Linked DNA regions of Cricetulus griseus. The protein of the gene in region 1 interacts with the protein of each later gene in a pairwise test. Links are inferred from orthologs where the notes say so. Each region holds a gene or a part of one and is shown in the gene's direction. Other genes may lie near its edges.

Region 1 (4,801 bases):
CAGGAAGCCTAGAGTGGGGACAGTTGACAGGGCTATGAACTGACTGAAGTAGGGTTTTGGTACTGGAAGGCCTCAGGAGGCAAGGTCCTAAACAGTAAATGGTGCAACTGGAGATACCTGGGTGTGAGTACCTGATCTTTGGGGGAGCCAAGGGCTAAGGAATGCCTTGGGTTGTCTCAGCCAACAGAGGGAGGTTGTCCACTCGGCCCCGCCGCCCCGAGGACCGTAGGTTGGTTGAGTTTTCCAAAGGAACAAGGTCCCTGGCTCTCAGGATGGAGTGGTGGTAAGAGGAAAAGCTTCATTTTGGGAGAATCTGACACTGGTCGCCACCGGGAGGTACTGAGTCTGGGGGAGCCAATGGGGAGTTCTTCAGGGTACGACAGGGACTGATGGGAGGGCAGGCTGGTGTAGGAAGACAGGACTTGGGAAGAACCGACCCAGGTTAAAGGACAGCTAGTCACAGGGGTGCTTCCGGATCCCAAGCGGGCGGGTCAAAGGCTCCAAGTGTGGGACAGTCTTTGGGGTCTGTCTGAGGCTGGCCGCTACAGGCTCTGGGTCTAGGGGTGGGTTAGGGCTAGGGTTCGAGAGTGTGACATCAGCTGGGTAGGTCCCGGTGGGAGGCGCCGGGTGCAGGAGGCCCCGGCAGCGAGGGCCTGGTCCGCGGCTGAGGGCTCGCGGAGCCCAGGGCAGGCCTGGCCCGTGAGCGCCGCGAGGAGGCCCTCGGGCCCGGCCTGGCCGCCCGGCGCTCACCTGCAGCACCACCTCTACGTCGTACGAGTTCCCCTTGCTCTTCTGGTGGCCGCGGAACTTGGAGCCGCTGTAGAGCAGGCTGGTGGCCACGCCGGGCTGCTGGGTGTTGATGGGCGGCGGCGGGATGAGTGAGGCCGCGGATGTGGCTGAGGCACCCGCCGGCGGGGGACACTCGGTACGGACCGGCATCGCGGGGTCCCCCGGAGCCAGGGCTGGGGGGAGGGGGAAGGAACCGCCGCCGCCGCGCGGGAGTAGAGGCTGCGGGGAGGGCGGACCCGGGCGCGCACGCGCGGGGGAGGGGCTCCGGGAACCACCCCGCCCGCTGCCGGCCGACCAAGGGCTCGTGTCGCCACCTGGACCCCGGGACCTGCTAGCAGGGTTGTCCTGAGCTGCGTCCTCCTCCCCACTTGCCCTCGCGCGCACACACACTTGCACACACACATTCACACACTCACACACACATTCACACCCTCACACACATACACACATTCACACATACACACAAACACACACACACACACTGCGGCTTCCGATTGGCGCGGGAGCGCTAGAGAGGCGGGAGTAAGCGCGCGCGGCGCTTCCGCTTATTGGTAGGCGGAGGGAGCACGTGGTGTGGTGCGCGAACGGCCCTCTGGGACTTGTAGTTTTTTCCGTAGTGCGGCATGGAGGGGGCGGGGCGAGCACGCTTGTGATGCTGATTGACGGGGAGGGGGGCGGGGAGAGGTGCGCCGAGTGCGCGCTGTGGCGACGGCGCGCCGTAGGTGTCATGAGGAAGATGGCGGCGTGCAGAGGAGGCTGAGGGATTCGAGCCCGTGGTGAGAGGTTTCCGTACAGTGTCTTCGCTTTATTCTTCTCCTCTGTTTTGAGGTATGCGTCCACCCAGGCCCTTGGGCGTGATGTGGCGGATCTGCCCCCGGCTGAGGGACCGGGGGCGCGGCCTCTTGAACCGGCCTTCCAGTGACCCCACCGGCTCAATGTGGCCAAGGCCAACCCCGCGGCCTCCGGCCAGGGCCTATGTACCACCAACAGGTGAGGCCCGGACATATGTTACCTTTGGTCAGGAGCCAAACCCTGGCTCACCTGGTGGAGGATTTCTGTGGTGCAATGGGAGGGTGACTAAGGCAGGGTTCAGGCCCATGATATTTAGAGCAATGGAGTTGTTTCATGTGGGAAAATGATACCCAAACCAAACCAGTGCGGGGATGACCTTAGAGGGCACAGCGAGATATTTGGCTCTTGTGGCTTTTCTAAATTTTCTTTTTCTTTGTTTGTTTTTCGAGACAGGGTGTCTCTGTGTAGTCCAGGTCTTGGAACTCGCTCTGTAGACCAGACTGGCCTCGAACTCAGAGATCCTCCTGCCTCTGCCTCTGTGCTGGGATTAAAGGCGCGCAGGTGGCTTCTTTGATTTCAGAAAGGAAAATCTAGGCTTTAAGTCAGGACTTCGAAGGTCACAGAGCAGACTGGTTGAGGTTAGTGGAAGGCAAAGAATGGCCTGACCGCCTTGTGCCTCCAGCATAAGACTTGGCACAGAACGGGCAGGCCTTAAGCCTTCCACCTCCACACACTTTCCTTGAGGGTTTGCAAGCCCTCTGTCCTAGTGCAGCGCTACAGCCCCGGCGTTCTCTGAAGCCTTCTCTAAGTGCGCGTTCAGGCCATGCTGCTTTCCCCTACCAAGGACTGTCATGAGCCTGAAAGGAGGTTATTTCGTTGTTGCTAGAGAGAGAGTTTATGAGTGGGGTTCACTTCAGTGAATGAAGAGTAGTGACAGCCTCCTTTCATCCAATGAGCTGTTTTCTGTTGAGGGCATGCCGTCTCACCTGAATGATATTCACTGTCAAATGAAGGATATGTTACACCCACTAAACAATAGTTTTAACATGCCGTGATATGAGAAGTACTAAGGATCTGAGAGCGCACAAAGAATTCCCTTTTTTTTTTTTTTTTTTTTTTTGGTTTTTCGAGACAGGGTTTCTCTGTGGCTTTTGGAGGCTGTCCTGGAACTAGTTCTTGTAGGCCAGGATGGTCTCGAATTCACAGAGATCCGCCTGCCTCTGCCTCCCAAGTTCTGGGATTAAAGGCATGTGCCACCAATGCCCGGTAAAGAATTCCCTTCTTTCTTGAGCATGATTGAAAGGGTACTTAATTGAAAGGGGCTTGACTGAAAGGGTACTTAAATTGGGGCCTAACAAATAAATGAAGGGTTTGGTGAAAAAAAGGAGTGTAGCATGTCCAGAGGTGACAACAGGGTGTTAGAGATCTTGCTGAAACATGCCCACATTAAGAAACAGAATTCCTAGCTGGAGAGGTGGCTTAGGGGTTTAGGGCACTCACTGCTTTTCCAGAGGACCTGGGTTCAATTCCCAGCACCCACATGGGAGCTCACAACTGTCTGTAATTCCAGTTCCAGGTGATCTGATTGCTGTCACACAGACATACATGCAGCCAAAACACCAATGCACATAAAATAAGAATAAATAAATTATTAAAAAAAAAAAAGAAAAACAATTCCATAGGTAGTTTGGCACTGGGATAAGAGTACAAACTTGGTGTCTGTTGTTGCTAAACTTCTGAGGTACTGTGGTCTCAGGCATGTATGATGTTGCTTTCTTTAGTGATCTGAAGCATAAGATTGCCTTTAAAAATTCTTTAGGCTGTAAATTCCATATTTTTCATTTGTGTGTGTGTGTGTGTGTGTGTGTGTGTGTGTGTGTGTGTGTGTGCGCGCGTGCATTCTTGCTTGCCATGCACATGGAGGTCAGAGGACAGCTAACAGGACTTGTTTCCATCATGTGGGGTTCAGGATTGAACTGAGGTTGTTGGGTTTAGTGGCAAGCATTTTTACATGGTGAGCCATTTCAATGGTCCAAAGTCCATAATCTTATATAAATGGGAGAGGAGATTGGATGTAACAGGGAGCTGAGTTTTCATTTATTAAGACCCAAACAATGACCTAGAAGTGGACCAGGAAGAGACAGTTAAGAGGAAGGAGGAAGCTGAATGCAGTGTTGTGGTGTTGCATATGTTTGTGTACTAACTGCTCGGGAGACTGAGATAGAAGGATTACTTGAGCCCAAGAGTTTGAGGTTAGGCTGGGATATAATAGCAAGACCTCAACACAGGGCGGAGGGGGAGGAGACAAGGCTTGACTTATATACACCTTGCTCTCACCATGCCTCATTCACTCATTTATTTATACATTCCTATTTTCTTTCATATTTGACTACTTACTATATGCTAGATAATTCTAAGAGCCAACTGGTAAGTCTGTAATGCAAGAGAAAAGATGGCAGGTCAAGTGCCTCCATATCCCTTTGCCTATTTAGTGAACGCCTGAATATGTTCATTTTCTTGTGCTGTGCCTCCCTAGGATATGCTCTGCTCTCCTTGTCCTCACCAATTGTGAGCTTTTTGTGTATCTTTGAAGTAGTGTAAATTATACCCCATTGGGTTCTTCTTGGTAAAGAGGTAAAGACTCTGGTTGCCACACTGACTGGGCTTGGTCTCTTAGGCACTGCGACACCATGGAAGGTTGTCTGGAGAGGAGGGGCTTTTGAAGGGCTAACTGGGGGTGGGGTGGGGTAGGGTGGAGGAGGAGGAGTGTAGTGCAGAGATCCTCCTGTTCTGTTAGCTGCCCAGAGGGGAAGGTGTTTTGGAGAAGCAGCATATGAGGCTGAATACAAAGAAGTCAAAGCTAGAAGTCCTGTCTCTACCATTTACAAATTGCCTTCTGTACAAGACAGCTCCTCCAAGTCTCTACCACTTCAGAAGCATTACTGGCCTTGCCATCCTCATAAGAGTATCATTTGAGGGGACCAGTGCCACTTGTTTTTAAAATAAAGTTTTATTGGAACACAGTCACATACTCATATATAGTGTCTATGGCTGCTTTCATTATAATGGCCAGAACAGCCTAGAGTATTGATCTCTGCTCCAGATGAAGAACAATTTGGAAAATAGTACATTTATATATTTGGCTGCAAGAATTTGCTATTATTGCATTTCTCTATTTGTATATGTATGTATTTGGGTACATGCATGCCACTGTTTACAT
Region 2 (4,318 bases), on another chromosome or scaffold:
TTGCAATAAGCACTATTCCTTTCCTTGTAGTAGCATAATAACTGCATTTAATAGTTTAATACAATTGATAGGTAGTCATGGGGGTCGAAAATCTCATTTATCTGATTAATGACCTCATTTTTTAAGCAGACACATCTGTGTTATTCAGCTCCTTACACATGGAGAAAAAAATAAATAATTGTCCACTGATTTATTAATAATTTGAGCAAACACTTATTTTTATTTTTCCAAGACAGGGTTTCACTGTGTAGTGCTGGAACTCACTATGTATATCAGGCTGGCCTCGAACTCATAGAGATCTAACCACCTGGCTCTACCTCCTGAATGCTGGGATTAAAGGGGTGTGCCACCACCACCTGCCTAAACACTTCCTTAATTGCTTTCATTTTTTATTATTCAGAAGGTATTTTGTGCCCAAATTCTGAACCCCCAAATCACCAAGCGACCCATTCTGATGCAAAAGCAAAGAGTCTTTTATTGCTTAATGAGCTAACCCCATTAACTCGGGCTCTTCATCCATTCATTGAGGTGGGTGGCTGGAGAAGGACCGGGAGAAGCTGCAAGTCAGGAAATTCATTGGGTAGAGCATGGGGAGTATCCAGGATTGGTGCGCTTCTGGGCTTGGATGACCTGTTCTGTGTTGATTGGTCAACTGGTTGTTATGGCCTATATGCCCTCCCAGGGTGGTTGCTATGCTCTGCATGTCACTGTTGTGCACTTGTACTGTAAAGCACACCCAGAGCCATAAAGCACAGCCCTGTCAGCTAACTTTTGATTGGTTCCTTGACATGAGGAGGGTATCTGACCTCCTAGTGACTAGGGCAGGAGGGCCAAGGTCAGGCAAGCACATGTTGAGTCATGACTGCTAAAACGGGAGCTGGTCCCTTCAGGTAGACCTTGGAATGGAATATCTAAGCCTCTTGCCACAGCTGCATTTTAATTTGGCTCTCTTGTGAGGACAGTACAGTACTAGTTGTGGGGAGAGTTAATTGTCTATCACATTTCCAGCTCTTTATAGAAATAGAGATGTCATTCAGTGTCTCTAGTTTGTTCACAACATAGGACTGTGTGCAGTCTGCTGAACTATTTTCTTGGCTTGTTCCCCTCCCCCCCCAGTGCAAAGATGGCAAAAAACCAAACCAAAACAATCATTATAGACTTCAATAGTGTATTTTCTTTCTTTTTTCTTTGTGTTCTTTTTTTTTATTTTTTGAGACAGGGTTTCTCTGTATTGCTTTTGAGGTTGTCCTGGAACTCGCTCTGTAGACCAGGCTGGCCTCGAACTCACAGAGATCTGCCTGCCTCTGCCTCCCGAGTGCTGGGATTAAAGGCATGTGCCACCAAAATAGTGTATTTTCAACAATAAAAAGTATTGCTTTCCCTAATAAGAAGTGCCAGTGTAGCACTTTTATATTTCAATATCTCCAAAAGTGTAGTGAATTTATATAGCTGTGTTAAATACTCCTTTAAAAACTTATTTAGTCATTCATTTATTGTGTGTGTGTGTGTGTGTGTGTGTGTGTGTGTGTGTGAGAGAGAGAGAGAGAGAGAGAGAGAGAGAGAGAGAGAGAGAGAGAGAGAGAGAGAGAGCATGCACAGTGGTGGGAGGGAGGTAAAAGGACAACTTTTGGGAGTCGTGTACTCTGGGCTAGCTTGCTCAAGACTTTTAAGCAATTCTCCTGTTCCAAATCTCCCATTGAAGGGACTATACCCTCTCACCCAGCCCCCCTGCTTTAGCAGCCATGACAGGCTACAGAAAATACCCAGCAAGATGTCTGACTCAGCAACATGTGCTGAGCTTCCTGACCTTGCCTGACCTTGTAGTCACTAGGAAGCCAGATATCTCCATGTGGCAAGGAACCAATCAGAAGTTAGCTGGTGGGCTCTGGATGTACTTTAGTTAATAATGGCTTATAGAGCATAGTACTGCCCTCGGATGGCCTATAGGCCACAGCAACCAGTTTACCAATCAACACAGGACAGGTCATCCAAGCCTGGAAGTGCACCAATCCTGAGACCGTTGCAGTCCCCAGACACTCCTCTTGCTGCACCCCAATAAATTCCCCGCCCCTTGGTCCCTCTGGGCCCTTCTTGATCCACCAGATGTGTCGGATGGATGGAGGAAACAAGTTAATACAGTTAACTTGTTAAATTATTAAAGACTCTTTGCATTTGCACTGGATCAGGTTTCTTGGTGATTTTGGGGTTCAGAATTTGGACATAACATTATCTTACCATAAGGATGCTGGGAAATGAGCTGGACAGAGTACTTACTGGTTGGGAGTACATACTACGCTTCTCTTGGACCTGAGTTCAGTTCCTAGCACCCACATAGGGCAGCACTCATATAAATAATAAACCAAACTTGAAGAAGTGCTGAGGTTATAGACACCACTGCACTAAAAAAAAAAAAAAAAAAAAAACCAAACCCACCTGTTTTTAATGTTGGCTCTGAGAATTGAACTTGAGGCATCAGGCTTATTCATCTGAGTTATCTTCTGGCCCTTGTTTTTCTCTTAAATCAGAATAATAAATTATGTTTCTTGTTAATGAGATATATAATGTAATTTATCTTGTACTTATATTTTATTTACAGTGTTTATTCTGTATGGTTATGGGAAGGTGACTATTTTACTGCTAAATTTTCTTAGAATGTCAGTTCAATTAATTTGTTTTCTTTCTTAAAGGCATCAGCTATAAATTCAAAGAGTTTGAAAACGTAGAAGAGGGCCAGACACTGGTGATTGGTGGAAAAGAAATAGAGATCCTGGGTTCGGTCTCTCCTGATGACTTCAACAGTGGCAAGTGTTTTCAGCATGGAAGTGGAAGTCCTGTGGTCCCAAGTTCTCAGGCAGCCAGGAAATGCTTTTCTAACCCTTTCAAAAGTGTCCATCAGTCAAGCCAGTCAAAGGAAAATAGACGGGATGATTGGCAAAACTGCAAACCACGCTATGACCCTTGCACACCAAGTAAGGTTTTAAAGATAAGTTGAACCTTCTGTTTCCATTGTCCAAAGATTTTTTGACATGTGAATTGACATTAAATTTTGTTTTTTAAATTTGCAAATGGTTAAATCAGGCCTGGGTTGCATAGTGAGTTGAAAGCCAGTAAGCCAGTGTGGATTATATATTGATACTTGTATCAAAACTAAAAACTAAATAAAATGAAAAAAATTTCAGGTGAGGGACTGGAAAGGTGGATTAGTGGAGAGCCCCCCCCCCCAATCAAGACCTGAATTTGATCCATGGGACCCACATACAAAATTAAAATAATGTTTTTGAGCTGGTGCATAACTTAGCACTCAGGAGGCAGAGGTAGGTGGATCTCTGTGAGTTCAATGCCAGCCTGGACTACAGAGTGAGTTCCAGGATAGCTAGGGTGGTTATACAGAGAAACCCTGTCTTGGGGGCAGAGGTTGAAAATTGTAGGTGAAGATTATATTCAGATATACCCTTTGACATAAAGAATAATGCTGAAATCAAATACCTTTGGGAGTTATTTAACATTTGTAATCCCAGTGATATGTTGGTCTTGGCATTTGTCGTGGCTCTGTAGGGATTTCCAGGTTCTCATGGAGCAGGGGCATGGCTGCAACAGGAACAGTTTATTGGTAAATAGTACACTTCCAAGGAGGAGGAGAAGTTTAGAAGCCCTATGGCAAATGCTGCACAAAGGACCAATGTTTTTATATTCAAGTGTCACAGGCTTTTTGGCCCATTTGCATACTTTGAGCTTCCTCAGGAATGCATTTTATTGCATGTAGTTTTCACTGAGCCAAAGGTTATCCTCTCAGTTCTGGCGTTCTTTGCCAGTGGGTCCTGCCAGTTCTTGTTGATTTGTGCCTGGGGATTCCACCCTTCTTTTTTGCCAGGAGGCTTACCTCACATGCTAATTTTGTAGCTTTGGATAAGTCCTCCTGACCTCACTCTCTACCCTGGCCATTCTAGCTCCTCCCTGAGCGCTTTTTGGGGAACTGAAGTTTAATGATACAACTTATAACCACTTCTTGCTGTTGAGGAAGGAATGTAGTTCCTTCCTGTGAGAGACCACAGAATTCTCTCTATTCATCATCTGATTGGAGAAGAGGACCCATACTCCTGTGGTAGGGATTGGCTGGGGTCTCCACATTAAAAGTAGTCTGGAGTTGCTGTGTCCTCAATGACTACAGAGGGTCCTGCATTCTGCAGGTCAGAGGGACTGGGAATAGATGCAAAGTTGTCAGGAAAGACACACAGACTTTTTTCTTTATTATTCTTTCTGTCCTTGTTCTACTCTATTCTTTTTCTGTTCTGTTCTTCTATCCTGATGTTTCCCTTCT
Region 3 (4,318 bases), on another chromosome or scaffold:
GTGGTTGAGTGGAAATACTGGGCCTAGCTCTGAGAACCTGATGAGCTGTTACAGCTTGATAAGGTTTGGCACAGCATCTCAGCTCAAGCAGCTCCTTCCTTCTCCACAGATTGACCTTGCCATTGATGGTGCTGATGAAGTGGATGCCGAGCTCAATCTCATTAAGGGCGGTGGGTGAGTGTTGTGGGACTCGGTTGCTAAAAGACTCTCAGCTAATCCTTAACAAGGCAGAAATGGAGGACAGTAAACAGTTGTCCTGGATACCTATGAGTTTGTCTTCTTATCAGTACAAGATACCGTATGCCTCTGAGCAAGCCTGGAATTTCTGATTATTCTTGGGTTAGATGGTTAGGTCTGTGGCTTTTGTGTTAAAACTCTGGAGTCTGTGATCATTTGGGGAACTCTTCCTTTATTTGGAAACATCAGAATGATCATGTTTTATGTTATCCTGGCTACAGGTGTGAAGTAATTACCTAGGGAGCAATAGAGACAGGCCAGACAATTCAGGGTCTGAGCTATGTGCTGTCACATAGTCCACAGGGCAGTCTTTTCAGGACATGTTCAGAGATGTCTCCCCAACACAGTGCCTCTCAGACATATCTCAGAAGGGATGTGCTTGGCCTGAATGGAACCATTGTCCAATTCCTAGGTTTCTACCAGACACAAGCTAATGTATTTGTATTCCATTTACTAGAAAGCAGCACGATAGGATTGAGGGTGGCTCTTTAAAACAGAAGTCAAATTTCTCTAAGTGAGCATGTTTGGGATTCCTGTGTCTGACCTTAGTCCCCAAATTAAGATGATCTCACTCTAATGTCCACTTTCTTCTTTTCCTGTTAGAGGCTGCCTGACCCAGGAGAAGATTGTGGCTGGTTATGCCAGTCGCTTCATTGTGATCGCGGATTTCAGGTACCGTTCCAGGGCTCTGTGCTGCAGCTGAGAAGGATTATGGGTTTCCAAGTCTCATCCCCTGTACAGAGAAAAGCTTGTAGCGGAATGCAGGAAGGACTGCCTGCCTGTTCTCTAGGAGTCCAGGCAGAGACTCCTGCTAATTATCCCAGCACTCAGGTTTGGGGATGGGGAGGAAACAGTGTCACCCTGTGGGCAGAGCGAGTCTGCATGTGTCACTCATTATGTTTTCAGAGGGAGCCTCAGGAAGCAGGCCAGCCCTTCCACAGGCAGTGAGTGACTCAGCTCGTCCTCCTCCTCTGGGGTCAGGCTAAGCCACACGTGACTGTGCTGTCTGTGCTCAGTCTTTCTGGGCTGTTTTTTTTTTTTTTTTTCCCCCAAGTCGCCTGAGGGGTGCTATGCTGAGCATGCTAGAAGAGATACCAGCATATGTATTTACTCAAGAAATACCATAGCTGCAAGGAAAAACCTAGGTTAGTCAACAAGCCAGCAGGGCAGGTTTTAACATTTTTGCCACATTGTCCAAGTTTCTCTTTAGTGTAAAGCAGCCCATACTTCTGAAGCCCCCTGTACTGTTCCTGATTCCTTTCCCCTCCAGCTGTCTAGTTAGCCTCTTGCCTGAATTTGGTTGCACGTTGAACTTACTTAATTTGATTGGCATTCTTTCCAGGAAAGATTCAAAGAACCTTGGAGATCGGTGGCACAAGGGGATCCCTATTGAGGTCATCCCAATGGCTTATGTCCCAGTAAGCCGAGCTGTGACCCAGAAGTTTGGGGGCGAGGTAGAACTTCGAATGGCTGTCAACAAGGCAGTAAGTGGCCAGGGAGGTTTCCGAGCACCCTGGCTCAGTGTGTTCCTGTCCTCCTTTCTGTGGCAGTTAGATTCCTGAAACGTAAGAGTGTGTGTGTGTGTGTGTGTGTGTGTGTGTGTGTGTGTGTGTTTCTGTCAGTCTGTCTGTCTGTCTTCTGGAAGCTCTTTGGGGCAGAAAGTTCTTTTAGGTTACCTGGTGTGATATTTTCCTCTCTCCTCTCAGCTTTTTTGTGGCTATACCTGTAAGAGTACAACTCTCATCTCAAAGAGCATAAGTGATGGTCTGGGAATACAGATCTAGGTTACCCCAAATTCTGCATTCCAGTGTTCCAGTGAGATAACAGTTTTTTTTTTTTTTTTTTTTTTTTTGGTTTTTCGAGACAGGGTTTCTCTGTGTAGCTTTGGAGAGTCTATCCTGGCACTCGCTCTGGAGACCAGGCTGGCCTCAAACTCACAGAGATCTGCCTGCCTCTGCCTCCCGAGTGCTGGGATTAAAGGTGTGTGCCACCAATGTGGTAACAGTTTTAAGTTTGTACAGAGATAAAACAAAGAAGATCACAAAATGACACTTTTCAAATACATTGGAAACACCAGGTAGGCAGGTCACAGTAAAATGGGGAAATCTTAGCTCTGGGCCTCAGCACTATCTGGTAGTATCCTTTTTTTGTTTTGTTTTATTTTGTTTTTTGAGACAGAGTTTCTCTGTGTAGCCCTGGCTGTTCTGGAACTCTGTAGACCAGACTGGCCTCAAATTCTCAGAGCTCCACCTGCCTCTGCCTCCTGAGCACTGGGATTTAAGGCTTGTACCACTACCACTCTGACTCTGGTAGCATTCTTATTGTCTACATTTCAAAGGTTTTTTTTGCCTTTCAAAAGGTGTAGATGCTCAAGATAATTGTCTCTGGAGGAGTAACAGTCTAGACTCCATACACCCAGCCATTGAAGTTCCAGCTGGTTAATGTCCTGCAGAAGCCTGGAGGAAGATGCTGATCTTTCCAGGAACTTTTTGCTCAAGGCAGCACCACTCCCTTCCTTTTTTTCTTTTTCAGTGTTAGGAATTAGGCCCAGGGCTTTTTGAAATACCAGGCAAGTACTCCCCCACTGAGCTATATGCCCTGCCTTCTCCTTCTACCCTAAATGTATCAGTAAGTAGACTTTCTTGGGGGAGGGGAACACACAGCACCCCAGTGGGGTTGTTTCTCATCAGTTTATAGCTGTGGCCTGGAAATAATTTTTTCTTTTGCATTTAAATACACAACCAAAAGTAATGAACCAAACTGAAATGTATGTAGCTATGAGAAAAAATTGGGAAATAGAGAAAAAGAAATGATCATGCTTTCTTGACTTTCTTCAAAAGGAGAACTGGTTATACTGTGCCTTCGCCGAGGCCTCAGCCCTCTCCCCTTGATTTTTGTTTGTTTGAGGAGAGGGGCCGTACATAGTTCAGGCTTCTTTGAACTTGCTATATAGTTGGAGTTGACTTTGAACTTCTGATCTCCTTGCTTCTACCTAACCAAGTGCTGGGATTATAGACATAAGCCACCACACCTCGTTTACCTTTGTATAGTTTTAACTGGACTCCACTCCAGGCTGCAGAGGAGTCTTGCCTATGCTTAATGTTATGTTTTTGAAGAAAAAGAGAAAAAGAGGCAGATGAGACGTGTTAACCAGTTTATTATTAGGGCCAGGAGAGTAGGAGACTAAAGAGAGAAGAGGAACAGGCCATAGCCAGTCCCATAGAGAGGCAGAGAGGGCGCATAGGTGAGAGGGAGGGAATAAGAAAGAGTAGAGTAGAGTAGCAGGGAAGTTGGAACTTTTAAAGGGAAGACTGCGCTTGCGCGCTGAGCTTCCACTCATGCACAGAGTCCTCACACATGCGTGGTGGGTGATGTGATGATGACATAGCACGTTTTCTTGTGCGTGCTGACTGTTGTCAGGGGGTGGGGTCTGTCTCTTTATTGCCGATGAGCATTAAAGCCTGAACCTTTCACTTATGTTTGTCAATATTTTTTATTGTTAAACAATCCTATTCTTTAGTGTCCAATCGTGTTGAGGACTTCTGGATTTGTAGCTAAAACTTTCCATCCCCATACCTGTTTGACTGTCTGTCTCTCTCCCCCCCCCCCTTTTTAATTTTTTTTTTTTTTTTTTGAGACAGGGTTTCTGTGTAGCCCCAGCTATCCTGGAACTCACTCTGTAGAGCAGACTGACTTCAGACTCCTATCCAACTACCTCTGCCTCCTGAGGGCTGGGATTACAGGCATATGTCACCACTGCCCAGATGCCCTGTCCTCCCCCCCCCCCCCCCCGAGACAGGGTTTCTCTGGCTTTGGAGCCTATCCTGGCACTTGCTCTGAGACCAGGCTGGCCTCGAACTCTCAGAGATCTGCCTGCCTCTGCTTCCCGAGTGCTGGGATTAAAGGCGTGCACCACCACCGCCCGGCTGCCCTGTCCTTTTAATGAGACATTGATGGGGAGGGTGTGATGTGTGAAGTCAGTACAACCTTATTTTGTATTATTGATGGTGCTTATGCTAAACTTTGAGATGTAGTTATGTTGGAGGTTTTCACTCTGTAAGCTAAAAATTTCTCTCTGTGA
Region 4 (4,318 bases), on another chromosome or scaffold:
CAATAAATCAAAGAGACAAAAAACAACTCTACTTTTTCAGAAACTGCTGCAAGATTGTGGTAAGAATACTTTGGATTGATTTATTTTACTTGCTTCATTCTGTTTTTCAGTTTTTAAATTATAAACTACTTTTTCAAATTACAATTAATAATAGAAAAACTTTATCATAGCAGCTAACTTTCCTGAGAAACCAAGAACTGCTCCCCTGGGGTCAATTGGAGAAGGAAGATTCATCAAAAAAGGTATTTTATCCCTATTAAATACTGTTATTCCACTTTGTAGGAATAAGTGCTTTTTAAATATTTTTATTTCCTACAAATTTTCTCATGCTTTCAATATTGAATTGAGCTGGTCTCCGTGCCTCTGAATATTGGGTTGGAAACTAATTATATTTATTGTTCAAGAAATTACATTTGTTCATACACTAGTCTCTGAGTTAGGGCTTCTATTGCTGTGAAGAGACACCATGGTAACAGCAACTCTAATAAAGGAAAACCTTTCATTGGGGCTGGCTTACAGTTTCAGAAGTCTAGTCCATTATCTTCATTTTGTGTGCAGGGAGACATAGTGCTGGAGAAAGAGCTACATCTTGATCCACAGGCAGCAGAAGCAACTGGGTGTCACACTGGGTGTAGCTTGAGCATATTAGACTTCACAGCCCACTCCCACAGTGACACACTTCTCCAACAAGGCCATACCCACTCCAACAAAGCCACACCTCTTAATACCTCTCACTATGAGCCAAGTATTCAAAATGTATGAGTCTATGGGGCCATACCTATTCAAACCACCACAACTAGTAATTTTACTAATTGCACTGTATCATGGAAGAAATGATGTGGATATAGTAGGCACTTGTTTATAATAAGTTTCACTTGAACATAACTGCATTCCTTTGTTACATAATGTCTCTTGTTGCCTTTTTAATAGTGCTGCAGTAGGACTTCATGCATGCTGACCATGACACAGTCCATGCCAGACCTAGACTCCCTTTTTTTTTTCTTCTACTGCAACAACAGAGCTGAATAATTCCAGTGGAGGCTGCTCACCCCACGAATCTTAAAACTATCTGGCCTTTGATAGAAGATATTTTATGAGCCCCTGACAAATTTTCCATCTCCTTTCCTTAAATTTATCCTGGTTATCCTGGTTTAACCTGGTTTATCCTGGTTCACATAGTACTTGTGTAATATGTCAATAAATAAGTTTTTATGATAGGGAATTTTATAGTAGTTTAGGGTCATATCTTAGTCTTAGTAACTGTATTTTTCAGTTTTTTCTAATGAATGTCTTCTCCATCTCTCCATTTTCTCCTGAAAGTAGAGACTATAACATGATGTAGGCCGTTGGATACCTATTTCCTGAAATTCCAATATTTATCTTCTATGTTTTAAAATGCACCTATATGACTCAAGAAGCTGTATTTTCATATTTAACTAGAAGAAAATTACATATACCAAGATAACTTTTAAAAATCATTTTCATGTGTTTATAAAGCAATTTACATGTTATGAATTTAGTTTTGATTTCATGTAATAATTTCTGTGCTTTAATTTTTTTTTATTTGAAATGTATCAGTTCCCTGGAAATTTTTTAGTGTGTTTTTATAATCTCAATTCAGAAATAATGCTTTACATTTATTTGTTCATCTTAATTTATAAAATACATTTTTCTTCTATAGAATCAAACTTGTTTTCTCATGGTACACCTATGCCAGAAATGCCCAGGCCTTCAGGAGTTTCAAGTCAAACTGAACCCTACTATTCTTCATCTGTGCCCATCTCAAGTGGATTGCCACATCACCCACCAGCCATAGCCTCAGTGGTCTCTCCACCTTCAAGCTGGTCATCAGTGAGCCACCCCACCTCACACTCAGCCAATACAAACACATTGAGTAGTTTCTCAACAGGAACACTTCCCTCTAATTCACAAAGTATCCTTCCGTTCCTAGAAGGGTCTAGTGTGAGTGATTTAAGTGCTTCTAATGCTTGCCTTTATACTGATGACCTAGCTAGAATGGAAGCGTTATCCATGTCACCAGCTGACTTATATGGTATTTCTGATGTCAACATGCTATCTAATCGCCCTGTGAATGTGATGACAACCAGCAATGATAACATGGGGGACACTGATAATCCAAGACTTATGAGCATCAATCTTGAAAATGCCTCATGTAATTCAAGGTTAGACCAAAGAGACCTGAGACAACTACATCAGATGTCTTCTGCCAATATGTCAGCAGGCACCAGTTCTAATTCTGTTTTTGTTGCACAGTCAGATGCATTTGATAGATCAAACTTCAATTGTGTAGAAAATGGCCTGATAAATGAGCCTGGACCATCAAATGATGCAAATAGTCATAATTTTGTTCCGAGCAGTCAATATTCAAGTATTGACACTCTGCAAAGTGAGCAATTGAGTGATTCCTTTGCATATGGTTTTCTTTAAATGTAACCTGTAGGATTTAAATCTAAAAAAAAACTATTAAAACTTTAGGTGTATAGAATATAAAGGGAACATTCAAAATTAGAAACTTAAAGAGCTGTACTGTTTTTTACTTTGAGAGATGCCTAAAGTACATGTGCTTGGTGTGAACTGTTCTTTCAAGTTTCCTCAAGACAAGCTGTGTGTCTTTTGTAATGTATTAATGTACTAGTTAAATGAATTGATATTTGCTTTCAAGCAGATTTAAGGTAAAACATGTAATGGCTATGCCATTGTGAAATAAACTCATTATTGTTGAGGCCCATAGGCCAAAGTGACCCCTATGGGGTTTTTGGGGGCTTCTTGGTATTTTTAGGTAGGTGTGTGTGTGTGTGTGTGTGTGTGTGTGTGTGTGTGAGAGAGAGAGAGAGAGAGAGAAGAGAGAGAGAGAGAGAGAGAGAGAGAGAGAGAGAGAGATTTCAAGGGATGGAAGGTTTTTTTTTTCTATTTTCTATTATTTAGACTCATACTTCTAAAGTTACTTAAGAAATTAGTTGTATATCTGTATTTTCAAGAAAAAGATATTTTCTTGAGCCTTTCTGTATTAGATTCCCTTAATATTACAAGTTCAAGGTCTGCCTGGGCTACATAGTCAGTTCAATACCAGCTTTCAGTTTATGAAAATCTTGTCTCTAAGATAAAAAAGGCTAAGGTTGTGACTCAGTGGTAGACTTTGCTTAATGTTTCCAAGACCTTATGTTCAACCCCCTGTAGAAGGAAAAAGAAAAAATAACAAGATTTAAGTTTTAGGTCAATATGTTGAAGCCTGAGTTTTGAACTTATCCCCTAGACTTGCTTGTCCTTCAGTCTCACCAGCCCTGGAAATTGTCATGCCGTGCTTCTAGCTGCTTAGGTAAAAACCTTGATGTCGCCCTTGATTCATCTCCTAAATCTGTCAATACATCAGCAAATCTAGAAGATCTTTCCTCAATATTTATTTGAAGTTAACCACCTCTTTTGAACTCTTGGTTGAGACAGGGTTTCACATCTCTCAAGTTGGCTTCAAACCTGCTATGTAGTCAAAGATGGCCTTGACCTTCAGATTCTCCTGCTTCTGCCTTAGAAGTGCTAGGATTACAAATGTGCACCACCACACCAAGTTTATGTAGTTTCTGGGGTATCAGTGATAGGGCTTTGCTTAGAGAAGTGCCTACCAATTGAGCTCCATGTCCAGATCAGACTAATTGTAGTAATTTTGTATTAGTTGGCACTGATAAACTCAGACACAACAGTTTTCCTCTAAGTTGAACTAAGGTACATCTACATCTGTGTTTAGCATATTTTCAAATGGTGATTTATTTTTGGGTACTGTTTACTGATCACAGAACTCATTTTATAACTTAAAATGTGTTCAGCCATGTTTTCCCCCTTTCTCCCTAATTGCATTTGTATTTCACTTGGTTTTGAGGGAATGGGCCTTCCTACCCAAACTCCACCTTGTGCACTACATCTTTCCTCCATTGCCAGTGTCCTTATGTCCCTACTTAGTTCATGATTTCATTGTGTAAACAGAACAAATATCTTTTTGGGATTAAAAGGAAAGGGTGAAAACATCCCACAAAGTAACAAACCCTACCCATACCATGCCCCTTCTTTTCACTCCTTAACTTTAAAGCACTGTGCCTCTGTCCTGTCACCTCTGTGTCCCTCCTTCCCTTGTCCATCTCTTGGTTTAGTTCCCATCCCTTGTCAAGTCCCAGGTCTTTTTGATCAGTGTTCCTCTACATGTCTTCCCTGTCCACAATCTGTTATCAGTTGACTAAGTGTGTCTGTGATGGACAGGGTCCTCTTGCTTCCTAACCCAGATCTCTAGGGCTGTGTGTAGTCTCACCAG
Region 5 (4,318 bases), on another chromosome or scaffold:
GATATGTATTGTTTGAATCTGATTTGTCATGGAATATCTTGTTTTCTCCATCTATAATGATTGAAATCTTTGCTGGGTATAGTAGTCTGGGTTGGCATCCATGGTCTTTTAGTGTAGGTATAATATCAATCCAGACCTTCTGGCTTTCAGAGTTTCCAAGGAAAAGTCAGGTGTGATTCTGATAGGTTTGCCTTTATAGGTTACTTGGCCTTTTTCCTTTGCTGCTCTTAATATTTTCTCTTTGTTATGTATGTTTGGTGTTTTGATTATTATGTGGGTGTAGCAAGAGTTTCTTGCTCTCCTGGTGGGTGTGGGACCAAGGTTCTCTTCTGGTAGATGCAAACAGATCCAATACTCTGATGTCGGTCCTCTTTCTCGTGGATGGAGGTGTCACTGTTACCCGGGCATCGGCAATGTTCAGGTGTGCTGGGTCCCGCCGGGGCTGGCAGTTGGAGGCAGAGCTGTCACCAGGCCTCGGTGTGCTGGATCCCGCCCCTGAACTGGGTCCAGCATGCCGGTTGCTTGTGTCAGATGACTCTGAGCAGCAACAACGACCTGGAAACAGTTCCTGGCCTACCTGGGCTGGCGGATGGAGGCAGGGCTGCCTCTGGGTGTTCAGTGTTTGGATCCCGGCACTGAACTCGGTCCGGCACACAGGTCGCTTGTGTCAGATGACTCTGAGCAGTGACGATGATCCAGTAGCCAGTATTTTAAAATGCAGTAAAAATACAGCAAATTTATCAAAATGGGGCTCTAGTTCAGACATGAGAGGGACAGAGCTTTGAAAACTGGAGAATAATGTAACTTTCTCTTTACTGGATATACCCAAGATTATAAATTCATGCCTATATTAAGTAGAAAAGATATATATCTGTATTAAAAGAAAAAATTAGTTGCCTATAATTTCCATACATGTTCCAAAATATTAATTTGATGTATAGAAATGCTCCTGCTACAAGCCAAAATATTAGGTTATAAACATTATATATGACTGTAGACTAGCAAGGTCATAATAATCTGTCACCTCTTTCAAATATCATGTCATTGAAGGATGCAGTTTATACAGTGTATGATCCAGATACTTGCTCTTCAAATTCATTTCCAAGATTACATAAGTGACTGCCAGAAATTTGTAAGGAAAATCCTTATCTAACTGAGCTTGGCGGATGTTTTCATGTTGGGAGTGTGTTCCTCAGATACATATGGAATGTTGATCATAGGATTAATTATTGCTCCTCTAGAAAGTGTCCATTGGTCTCGTCTCTTCCAGGGAGCTATCATTTAAGAAAGGAGATACTGTCTACATCCTCAGGAAAATCGACCAGAACTGGTATGAGGGGGAGCACTACGGCAGAGTGGGCATCTTTCCAATCTCATACGTAGAGGTACGTCCTTTCTCCTCATCTCCAGAAGGATGCTGTTCCAAAGGTTATCACAAGTTTCAGAACCAACTGAAACTGTTCTCCATTATAGAAACTAACACCTCCAGAAAAAGCACAGCCTGCCAGACCACCACCCCCAGTCCAGCCTGGAGAGATTGGCGAAGCCATAGCCAAATACAACTTCAATGCAGACACAAACGTGGAACTCTCCCTGCGAAAGGTAACCTAGATGTGTTCTTCACTGGGGTGTTTTCACAGACTGTACAATTCTGAACCCAAGTTAGATAAGCTTATTTTTTAGAACATCCTTCCACCTGTTACCTTCTGGGTTTGCTCTTTAACAACATCTTGCTAACTCTCTTCTGGCCCTTTTGTAGTTTTGAAAAAGAGAGTTAAATAAAGTTATCTGGCATTGGCCTGTCTGCTGCAGGAAGCATAATAGTGATTAGAAATGCCTACTATTGCAAAAATCCAACATTTCTATTCAAATGGCCAGAATGGCATAGCCACTCACCAATTAAAATGGATGCTGGTGTTAGCCTGTCCTGGTGAGACAAGGGGATGTTAGCCCACTCCACAGCTATGGAAATTCTAGGTTACCATCTTTGCCTCATGCTTTTTATTCACTCTTTGTCACTTGTCAGGACATGCAAATTAAAGAAGGAAAATGGTATGTCATTCCACTTCATGCCTTCCAGAGGATGGCTTCCATGATCCATTTCAGAGACATTTTCTTCTCCCTATGGATCATCACACTGATTCTGGTAGACGAGTCTACTGTCATTGAGATGGCATCTCTCACACCATCTGCCTTTTGAAATAACTTCCAAAGATCATTTTACTTTGTACCAGTATGAAACATGTATAATCCCATTCCCATTAACCAAGCATCCTTAGGCCTCTAATGTCACAAATGAAAGGTTTAACATGCATTCATACTGACAAACTATGTGTCTCTACTTATAACATACTTCCCAATGCTCGTTACAGGGTGATAGAATTATTCTTCTTAAAAGAGTTGATCAAAACTGGTATGAAGGTAAAATCCCGGGAAGCAACAGGCAAGGCATCTTCCCTGTCTCCTATGTAGAAGTCATCAAGAAGAACACAAAAGGTGCTGACGATTACCCTGACCCTCCTCTACCCCACAGCTACTCTAGTGATAGAATTCACAGCCTAAGTTCCAATAAGGTAAGCAATCATTCTATCATGTTAACTCTGAATTTGGGATCTCGGGATATCATAATCAGTGGGTGATTTGGGGGACCATCAGACCATCATATCATTGAAAAGAAACAAACTCATATATTATGTTCATATATGTGAGTTCCAGATCAGAAAATGTAAGTTAATTTTCCTTTCTTAGATGCTGGGATAAAGGCTTAGTGTTCATTTTTGCTAATTCGGTTCTCAAGTTTAAGTGCATGAAGAGAAAGGAAATGTTAGTATCATCAGCATTTCTTGATACATCTCTGTATTTTTGTGTATATACATTACCCAGGCACACATACATACATTTACCCCTAAACTGTGTATCATTATGTAATTATTAGGTGTACAATAGTCTATGAAAGTCTGAGGGCATTTTCTACATAGCGTAAGACATTTTTAATTTAGGGCCTATAATTTTGCATGAAATTATGATAGATTATTATAAATAGTTACAGTTCTTTTTCATTAGTTTTAGGGCCATGAATTCCATTAATTCACTTAAGCTGACAGCTGAAGATGATTGATTATCTTCCTCAATACAATTTAGAAAAGGTCTTTCCTTCCTGAATTGGTTCATTAGATTAAAGCTATCCTCCTACTTCCCTTAATCACAAAAAAAACGTTTTTCCTCATTTTTCTGTTGAATTATAAGCTATTTTAGGGGTATATGTAGGGGTTTCTTTCGCCTTTACAGTGATTAAAATATAAAAAATCACCAGTGAATTATTTCCAAAATATTGTCAAATGCCTCCCAATGTGAAAAAAGGATGGATTGGGTTGTATAATACATTAACTGTTTTAGTTGAGATCAAGGCAAGGATGTGTAAAAACAGATTATTAACATTGTGAAAGGGTGAAGTCAAGGTCATCTTCAGCCAGTGTCTCCAGGACCTAAGCCACTCTGTGTAGTAAATAAATAACCTATGAATATATCTCAGTTGAGATATTTTCCTCCTTTAAAAAGTCTTAGTATTTGATATTATTCATTCTAATCCTTTTCGAAAAATGGGTTCTAATCATGGGTAATTAATTACCCTAAAGTGTCTATCACTGGATAACTGATAGCAGTTTGAACCAGTTTGATCATAAAGGTTCTAGAATTTAACATTCAGAGATCAACATCCTCCCTTCAGTAGTTTCTACTGATAATGGGGGGAAAAGAATCTTCATCCATCTGCATGTTTTACCCACCATCCATCTATCATAAAAGAACCATCAGATGACTCTTGAGTGACTGAACTTTTAAATAAACTGATTCAGAAGAGAACATCATGCATCTACAAATGCTTTCTTAGCACTGAAGAACTTCTCCCATATGCTGTAATTAACAATGGCAAGCAAATATTTTAAGTCAGCGTTTGTGGTCTTTGCTCTGAATCTGTTTTAAATGCCATTCATGTTTTGTTATTGTTGTTGTAATACCACATTTTGAATCAAGGAATGTACAAATACCAAATTTTAATAGAAGAATGTATTAGTTACACTAGTAACTAATTGTCTTCATCTGTTTCAAAAACAATCAAAGGTTATTTCCATAATTTGAAAGAAATTCTAGTTTCATCTCCACTGGTTATCTATCCTATGATGTCATTGGCTTAAGGAAGAAAATTCCTGCAGTGTTGCCCTGGTCAATAAAAAGAAATAGGTCTTTTAAATAGTGAGATACAAAAGCAGCAACAAGGCACAGCTCCTGTTTTCCAACTGATATTTGCAAATAGACAAAA
Region 6 (4,318 bases), on another chromosome or scaffold:
GCTGGGTGTGGTGGTGCACTTCTTTATCCTAGCACTAGGGAGGCATAGTCAGGTTGATTTCTGTGAGTTCAAGGCTGACCTAGTTTACAATGTGAATTTCAGACTAGCCAAAGCTATACATTTAGACCCTGCCTCAAAAATGAGTGAAGTGTATATCAAGCCAAAGTAAAAGTGTAAGTAGTAAGTGATAGATGACAAATAGGTAGATAGATGGATAGATGGCTGTAGATAGATAAATTGGGAGGGGCAGGGGGGTTGGGTGGGAAATATCAAATTGGGTGCTCAAAACATCCAGCAGAAACTACTGACTATAGAAATCCTAAGGCAACCAGCTAGAGTCTCTGGCAGAGCAGATTGTCCTCTCAGATGAAATTTTCAGAAAAAAAAAAAAAAGAAAAACACAAAAAACAAGTAACAGTAGGAACATGACATAGTCAAACTGGGGACTTACAAATACTCAGCAGAAGCTGACTAGGGAAGCTCCATGAGGCAGCCAGCTAGAGTTCTTGCTGGAATTCCAGGCAGAACAGGGCCTTGATTGAGTCTTCTGAGTAAAAGAAAAAATAGCCACAGGTAGAAATAACATCATCAAATCAGGTGCTCACAATGTCCAGCAGAAATCAACTGGAGAAGTTAATGCAGCCAGCTAGAGTTCCCAATTGAGCTTTCTCTCCATGGATGAGCTTCCTGTGGCTGAACTTCATACTTTTCTTTCTGACCGTAGGCACTTTTATATCATGGGATAAAGCAACAATAGTAACATGTTCGGAATGTTTGTTCTCTTGCTGTTTGTAAGGACATGATGTTTGCTGGCTAGTTTAATATCAACTTGATAGGGCCTAGAGTGATTTTGGAAGAGGGAATGGCAATTGAGGAAATGCCCTCACTGGATTGGCCTTAGGGTCACCCTGTGATGAATTTTTTTGATTAATGATTGATGTGGGTGGGCCCAGCTCATCCTGGGCTGGTGGTCCTGGGTGCTATAAGAAAACATTGAGCAAGTCATGGAGAACAAGCCAGTAAGCAGCATTCCTCTATGACCTCTTCATGAGTTCTTGCTTCCAGATTCCTGCCCTGTTTGAGTTCCTGCCATGCCTTCCCTTAGGGATGGACTGTGATGTGAAACTGTAAGCTGATATAAATCCTTCCTCTCCAAGTTTCTTTTGGTTATGTTGTTTTATCACAGCAATAGAATCCTATCTAAGATATGATGTTTTTACCCTTGATCTCTTTTGCTGTTCCCTTTCTCGTCACAGAGTTAGTGCCAGACAAGGGGCTTGGAGGACACTTAACATAAACAGACATGGCTCAGAAGTAGGGAAGCAACCCCAGTTCCTGAGCCAGCTTCTCAGTGAGCTCAAACAACACATGGGTTTACCAATGTAATGTACTGTACATCTCTCCAGCACGACAAGCAAGTACCACTGTGCCTTGCTTTTTACATAGGTTCTGAGGATTGAATTCAAAGTTCTCATGCTCATGAGGCAAGCCTTTTGCAAACTAATCTGTAGCTCCTTAGCTTCTAAAATTTACTTTTAATACTGTGATATTACATGGTCTTTATTGAAAGTTGATGGAGTCTCCATTTTTAAGAGGAAAACTTTATAGGAAATACCATCTTGTTTTCTAGGATGATTGCAGAGTTGTCTTGGCAAAACAAGAAATTACAAGATTATTAGAAACACTGCAGAAACAGCAGCAGCAGTTTACAGAGGTTGCAGATCACATTCAGTTGGATGCCAGTATCCCAGTCACTTTTACAAAGGTGATGTATTGCCCTTGTTTTTACCTATGCTTTCTACAAATTGCAAGTAGCATGAAATGTAAATCAAATTAAGGAGGACACTAGGGAACTCATGAGTTGTAAAATTTCAATAAAAACTTTCATCAGTGGGCAATAGAAACAAGTGAGATTAAATCTCTGTTCTTATTTCACAGTTTAAGTAGAATTGTACCCAAGACATTTAGTAATTTTATATTTTTATACTTTACTGTCAGGTATCCAGCTAATACTCAAATTTCTTAGATTCTTTTTGGAAAACATTCTGAAGGAGTGGCCAGTGCTCTTAACCGAGGAGCCATCTCTCCCGTTCCTGTCTAGCTATCTCTGCAAGCCTCCATTTTCAGTTCTTGTGGTGATATACCCAGAAATAAAAGTTAGGGGTCATGTAGTAAGTTTTTTTCAAATTTTCCATTAAAAATTTTAAATTTTTTTTTGTTGTGAGAAAGGTTTGTATGTAGCCTGTGCTGGTCTCAAACTCACTATATAATAGCTAAGGATGACACTGAACTAATGATGATACTCATGATTCAACCTCCAGTGCTGGGATTATAGGCTTGTGTCATCACACCAGGTTTTTGTCATGCTGGGCATGGAACCCACAGCTTTGTGCATGTTTTGCAAGCATTCAGCCACATATGTTATCAGGAATTTCTGTGGTATTTTACATATGGTTAACATATCATAATCTTACTGTTGTTGTACAAATATTATAATTTCTCCACATTTTGGATAGTGGCCATCTTAACCTGTATGACATTTTATCTTAACTGTGGTCTTATTTTGCATTTTGTTTTGGTTAACAATGTTTCTTTCGTATACTTTCCTGTTGTTTGTCTTGAGTAACTATAAGATTTTGGTTCACTTTTTTTGTTGTTGTTTAAGAGTTCTTTATGAATCATGGGTATTTACCAGTCTCTTTTCAGCTTTTTTTTTTTAATTTCTAGATATTTTACTTCATTTGATAAATTTCTTTTTCACTATGTTGATTATGACCTATTATGCAGAAAGGTCTTAAATTTTATGTAAATTTCTTTACCTGTTCTTGCTGTGCGCGCGTGTGTGTGTGTGTGTGTGTGTGTGTGTGTGTGTGTGTGTGTGTGTGTGTGTGTGTGTGTGTGTGTGTGTGTGTTTCGAGACCTGGTTTCTGAAATTCTCTCTGTAGATCAGGCTGGACTTGAACTCACAGAGATCTGCCTGCCTCTGCCTCCTGAGTGCTAGGATTAAAGGCGAATGCCACCACTGCCAGCCTGTTTCGGTTTTGTTGCCTGTGCTTTGGTATCATATCCAGGTATTTATTGTCAGGTTCAAGGTATTGAAGCTTTTCTTTGTATTCTTCTAGCTTTATAGTTAGGAGTGCTTTCATTTAATTCATTTTGAGTTAATTTTTGTGTGTGGTGTAAAATAAGCGTACCTGTTCATTCTTTCACACACCAATCTTCAGTTTATTCATTACAGGTTTGAAGACCATCTTTTTTCTTTGTTGAGTCATCTTTGGAATCCGTGGTGCAGATCATTTGGTTGTATATGTGGTGGTTTACATTTGGGCACTTTACTCGGTTTGTTTGGTTTTGCGTCAGTCCACATGTTTTTCATTTCTGTGGCTTTGTAAAATATTTTGATGTCAGAAAGTGTTAGTCCTCTGACTCTGTTCTCTTCAAAATTGTTTTAGCTGTGTTCCTTGAGGCCTATAACATTTTTTTCTTCCCCACAAAAGTTGTCTTTTTGTTTTCTAATCTGTAATTTGGCATATATTATACAAATACTCTACCATTGAAGAGTACTTTCACTCCATGTCATTGGGATTTGGGTAGAACTTACACTGACACCTGAACAATATTGATTTTTCAGATCTATGAACATGGAATGCCTAAGACGTCTTTATTAATTTTTTTAGATTTATTTATTTTATGTATATGATGCTCTATCTAAATGTATGCCTTTATGCTAGAAGAGGGCGTCAGATCCCACTATAGATGGTTTGAGCCACCTTGTGGGTACTGAGAATTGAACTTAGGACCTCTGGAAGAGCAGCCAGTGCTCTTAATCTTTGAGTCATCTTTCTAGCCCCTTTGTTAAGTGTCTTGTATGTGTGGAAATATAGCAATGCTTTCCAGTTTTTTAAAATTACTTTTTTTTGTGGCTATAATATTTTGACTGCATATATGTATGTGCACGTCATTTTTGCCTGGTACCTGATGAAGCCAGATCAGGATGTCAGATTCCCTGGAACTGGAGTTACAAACTGTTGTGAGCCTCTATGTGGATGCTGGGAACTGAACCTTGGCCTCTTGCAAGAACAATAAATGAGCCACGGAGCCACCTCACTAACCCTCTCCTCTGCTTTCTTAAGTTTTATTTATTTTTATGTTTTGTATTTTTCAATGGACAGGTCTTTGAAGTGTTTAGCTAAGTTTGTTATTAAGTGTTTTATTGCTCTTGATACTTCTGTTGTAAATGTGATTGCTTTCTTAGATTCCATTTTGAATTGTTCATTATTAATGTATAAAAATAGAACTTGTCTTTCTGTTGATCTTG
Region 7 (3,411 bases), on another chromosome or scaffold:
AACTGTTTCCATCAGTGCTTCTGAGACTGCATGCCTCTGACGAGGATGCGAGAAACCTCTAGTGCATGCTCTTTGTCCAGTAGTTTCCTTCTCTGACTTTTTTTTGTTTTCCATTAACCTAGAAAGTCTCTTCTATTCTCTGGGTAAGACAAAGTTGGTGAGCAAACCTCGCAGCCTCCTGTTCTCTTTGGACACTTCATCCTCCATCACCATGGCTTCCTTCTCATCCAAGCTCCATGCTTTGAAAACCCTGAGTCTGTAGCCCACTTAAGAGGGTCTTCCCGAGCTAGCCCCTGGAACTGTACTGCCACACACACCCCTTTCAACCACAAAGCTAAGGTTTCCCAGTCAGAACTGCATTGTGTCCTTCCAAATAAGTGTTCTAAGACCCTATCGACACTATAACCTTTAAGTCAAGAGAAATCTAACTCTGCTTTTAAAAGAGGAGATAGTTAGCTAAGTATATTTTTTAACTCTGAAATACCATGATGTTAGAATGAGTTTAAAGTCAGATGCCAATACCTATATGGTAAATTCTTCAATCTTACCAAGATTGTGGGGCAGGGGGCGAATTTGGGCAGCATGCAGACAGACATAAGAGCTGTGATAATTTGAGGGCATCGTGGTGAGGTCAAAGCTAAGACAGCACAAAAGGAAATGGGGTCCGGGTTCCCTGTGTGGATAACATGTGGTACTTCACTTTCTTCAAAGGACCTTATTGGAAGTCTTTGCCTCTACAATGCTATTTGCTCATGTGTCTGCTAATTTTGTTACCTTCCTGCCTTGAGATTGCTCGTCCTCTAATAATAAACTGTACAGCAGAGTTCATCACACTATGTTACGTCTTTTAAAATTAAGCAGTGGATTCACATACAATCCTATAGTTATCTGAATATCTAAAACCAAATCCCCGGCCCTCAGGAATGTCCATGATATGCTTAACTTTCCTGTGCAAAAGCTGCCTCCTCTTTTGGTCCCTAAATAACAGGCTCCTCCACATCCCTTGCCACCTCCCATTGAGGGCCTAAACTCTCCTGAGGCCTCAGGGCAAGACTTGAACAAACAAAGCCAGCTTGCCTATAAACATAATTTAAAATCCTCCCTACTGTGAGTAAACATGGTGTGCACCTGAAATAGCTGCCCCCACCACCACCCTTAGCCCACAAAGAACTGTAAAATGTGAAACTGATGTACAGTGTTCTTTCAATGTGTGTTTTTAAAATGCTCTCCCTTACTCGACTTTCCATTTTGCCAGCAGCACCAACAGCTGTACTATCAAGATGACTCCACCAGGAAGACCTTGGATGCATACAGGTTGTACTTGCAGTCTCCTCGTAGCTATGAAGACCCTTATTTTGATGACCGAGTTCACTTTCCAGCTTCTACTGATTACTCAACACAGTATGGACTGAAATCAACCACAAATTACGTAGACTTTTATTCCACTAAACGACCTTCTTACAGAGCCGAACAGTACCCAGGGTCCCCAGACTCGTGGGTGTAGCATCAAGACGCCTGGCGAGGGACTCTTTCTTGCTAACTTTTGCTTGGATTGAGGTGAAAAGTCCGTCTTGCTGATTTGATGATGAAATGTGGAAAGTGAAATGGAAGGAATGAGTGAAGTGTATTTTTTTTTTTTTTTTTTTTTGAGGAATTTTCAGGGAAGTGAGGAAACCCTTGGGAGAGGACTTTCTAAGCTCTGTGTAGGTGTTAGGTCTAATTACTTGTAGATTCTAGTGGTGAAGGTATGGGTGATGTGATGAGAGGTTTGAGAAATGGGTGAAATGAGATGGGGTATGTGTAGGTCAAATCAAATTACAGATGATTTTTTTAATGTGAATAAAGTTATGTTCAGATAGTTTGTACAGAAAAAAAATAATAAAATGGATGCCCTTCATGTTTTATTGCTATTACTAAATGTCAAGATTGTATGCTATTATGTCTTGTAAAAATTTATTCTGTTGGTGTAAATATGGAAATGCCACATTGGTTAAGTGCCATCATTTGTAATGCAGTGTGTCGTTTGAAAAGAGATTTGAAGAACTGACAGCCTAAAACACAAGTGGGAAGCCCAAGGAACTATTACCAGTTGACAACAAACTCTGACATCCTGTTTTCAGTGAGTAGTGACCCCTGGAAGCACAAAGCTCAGTGTGACAGCAGCGCCATGCTCATCCCGCCTCTTTCACAGGACACTTCACTGCCATTTTCTATGCACATGGAAGAATAATAAATGTGGAAATTTCATCCTTGAAATGTGGTCTGGTCCTCTTTTTCTGGGTGTGATATGGAAAACAGATTAAGTCTGTTTATGAGGTGGGCCACACTGGGCAGTGAAGATGTGGCTGCTACCTTACTGCCCCTTAGTCTATGTATTTCTTGGAGTTTTTGTTTGTTTTAATTTTATCTCCAGTTTTAGTGGGTTCTGCTTTGTTCCAACCTTCTAGATGTATTTAACATCTCTTTTCACCGAAGGGTATTTACATCTGGCATCCTGGCCATACTACATTGGTAAGGACCACTTACAGCATCATTTTTTTGGAACTAAATCATTACATATGGAGAGTTGGGCATTTGCTTGCTTGGCATCAATGTTAGAAGCCAACACTGATTCTAAATAATTATTGTGCTCAGTACTTGTTGGATTATAGACAGCATTTTGAGGTCTATAGGCATGTCCCAATGTTACTCTGCAGCATGCAGCATTGTGACTATAGAGAGACCCAAGAAACAGTACTTTCCTGGGTTGAAAACAGCCCGAGGTTAGGATTCAAAGTAAAATAGGTCCAATGTAGGCAGGAAAGTAGCTGAATCCTACAAATGGTGAGCCTTTTTGAGCTCACCATTTGCAAAGACCACCTAAGATGGCTGACAGGTCATGCTCTCTGCCACATGTGCCCTGGCAGGACAGAGAAAACAGCTTTCTATATGACAAGTCACTGGATGTTCCTGAGGAACTGACACAGACTTTTGGACTTCACACCTATTTGATCTCACCTTCCTGAACCTGGTTCCTTGGTATCTAGGTTTAAGTAAAGGCTGTTTGCTAAAAGGCAGAAAAACTGGGACCTCCAGAGCTGACTGACAGGAACTGTTTCTTTTAGTGACTGTTTTGGCAGCGTTTATTGCAACTAATGCAGATCACAGTTGGGAAGAACTCATTTGGGCCTCCTGTAAGACCTGATGTAGCCAGAAAGGGGCCATGGTGAGAAGAGAGCAGAAAATCTGAGGCCTTTAAATATCCTAACTTGTGACTGGAGAAAAGAAATTGTAGGCAGAATTGCATCATTGATCATAAAGATAGGCTCACCCCGCTCCAGTAGTGAGAACAAACACAACCTGCTAAAACTGTTCAGTCATTGTTGTGATCCTGATAGTACCAAATAGCATCAGCCCACAGCAAGAAGTGTG

What was found.
Region 2: the proteins of Atpaf2 (region 1) and Rad54b interact in a two-hybrid assay, tested with the Homo sapiens proteins (2 studies listed by BioGRID). The two-hybrid records come from large-scale screens. The link is inferred for Cricetulus griseus from reciprocal best matches to the Homo sapiens genes ATPAF2 and RAD54B.
Region 3: the proteins of Atpaf2 (region 1) and Rpia interact in binary tests that used the Homo sapiens proteins (3 or more experiments, as listed by UniProt). The two-hybrid records come from large-scale screens. The link is inferred for Cricetulus griseus from reciprocal best matches to the Homo sapiens genes ATPAF2 and RPIA.
Region 4: the proteins of Atpaf2 (region 1) and Rel interact in binary tests that used the Homo sapiens proteins (3 or more experiments, as listed by UniProt). The two-hybrid records come from large-scale screens. The link is inferred for Cricetulus griseus from reciprocal best matches to the Homo sapiens genes ATPAF2 and REL.
Region 5: the proteins of Atpaf2 (region 1) and Sorbs2 interact in binary tests that used the Homo sapiens proteins (3 or more experiments, as listed by UniProt). The two-hybrid records come from large-scale screens. The link is inferred for Cricetulus griseus from reciprocal best matches to the Homo sapiens genes ATPAF2 and SORBS2.
Region 6: the proteins of Atpaf2 (region 1) and Trim23 interact in binary tests that used the Homo sapiens proteins (3 or more experiments, as listed by UniProt). The two-hybrid records come from large-scale screens. The link is inferred for Cricetulus griseus from reciprocal best matches to the Homo sapiens genes ATPAF2 and TRIM23.
Region 7: the proteins of Atpaf2 (region 1) and Pkp4 interact in binary tests that used the Homo sapiens proteins (3 or more experiments, as listed by UniProt). The two-hybrid records come from large-scale screens. The link is inferred for Cricetulus griseus from reciprocal best matches to the Homo sapiens genes ATPAF2 and PKP4.

What each region holds. Positions count from the first base shown.
Region 1 is NC_048600.1:74,539,661-74,544,461, reverse strand, and holds the start of Atpaf2 (ATP synthase mitochondrial F1 complex assembly factor 2), read left to right. Parts: upstream 1-1,495; 5' UTR 1,496-1,619; coding exon 1,620-1,779; intron 1,780-4,801. Other genes in the region: Gid4 (glucose-induced degradation protein 4 homolog), read right to left, coding at 751-939. UniProt on the Homo sapiens protein: Plays a role in the assembly of the F1 component of the mitochondrial ATP synthase (ATPase).
Region 2 is NC_048595.1:125,716,170-125,720,487, forward strand, and holds part of Rad54b (DNA repair and recombination protein RAD54B), read left to right. Parts: intron 1-2,687; coding exon 2,688-2,969; intron 2,970-4,318. UniProt on the Homo sapiens protein: Involved in DNA repair and mitotic recombination. May play an active role in recombination processes in concert with other members of the RAD52 epistasis group.
Region 3 is NC_048601.1:62,413,861-62,418,178, reverse strand, and holds part of Rpia (ribose-5-phosphate isomerase), read left to right. Parts: intron 1-109; coding exon 110-174; intron 175-840; coding exon 841-909; intron 910-1,579; coding exon 1,580-1,721; intron 1,722-4,318. UniProt on the Homo sapiens protein: Catalyzes the reversible conversion of ribose-5-phosphate to ribulose 5-phosphate and participates in the first step of the non-oxidative branch of the pentose phosphate pathway.
Region 4 is NW_023276807.1:83,034,117-83,038,434, forward strand, and holds part of Rel (proto-oncogene c-Rel), read left to right. Parts: coding exon 1-59; intron 60-170; coding exon 171-242; intron 243-1,681; coding exon 1,682-2,448; 3' UTR 2,449-4,318. UniProt on the Homo sapiens protein: Proto-oncogene that may play a role in differentiation and lymphopoiesis.
Region 5 is NW_023276807.1:40,730,546-40,734,863, reverse strand, and holds part of Sorbs2 (sorbin and SH3 domain-containing protein 2), read left to right. Parts: intron 1-1,270; coding exon 1,271-1,385; intron 1,386-1,473; coding exon 1,474-1,602; intron 1,603-2,372; coding exon 2,373-2,573; intron 2,574-4,318. UniProt on the Homo sapiens protein: Adapter protein that plays a role in the assembling of signaling complexes, being a link between ABL kinases and actin cytoskeleton. Can form complex with ABL1 and CBL, thus promoting ubiquitination and degradation of ABL1.
Region 6 is NC_048595.1:322,464,490-322,468,807, forward strand, and holds part of Trim23 (E3 ubiquitin-protein ligase TRIM23), read left to right. Parts: intron 1-1,630; coding exon 1,631-1,765; intron 1,766-4,318.
Region 7 is NC_048599.1:115,554,154-115,557,564, reverse strand, and holds the end of Pkp4 (plakophilin-4), read left to right. Parts: intron 1-1,255; coding exon 1,256-1,504; 3' UTR 1,505-2,256; downstream 2,257-3,411. UniProt on the Homo sapiens protein: Plays a role as a regulator of Rho activity during cytokinesis. May play a role in junctional plaques.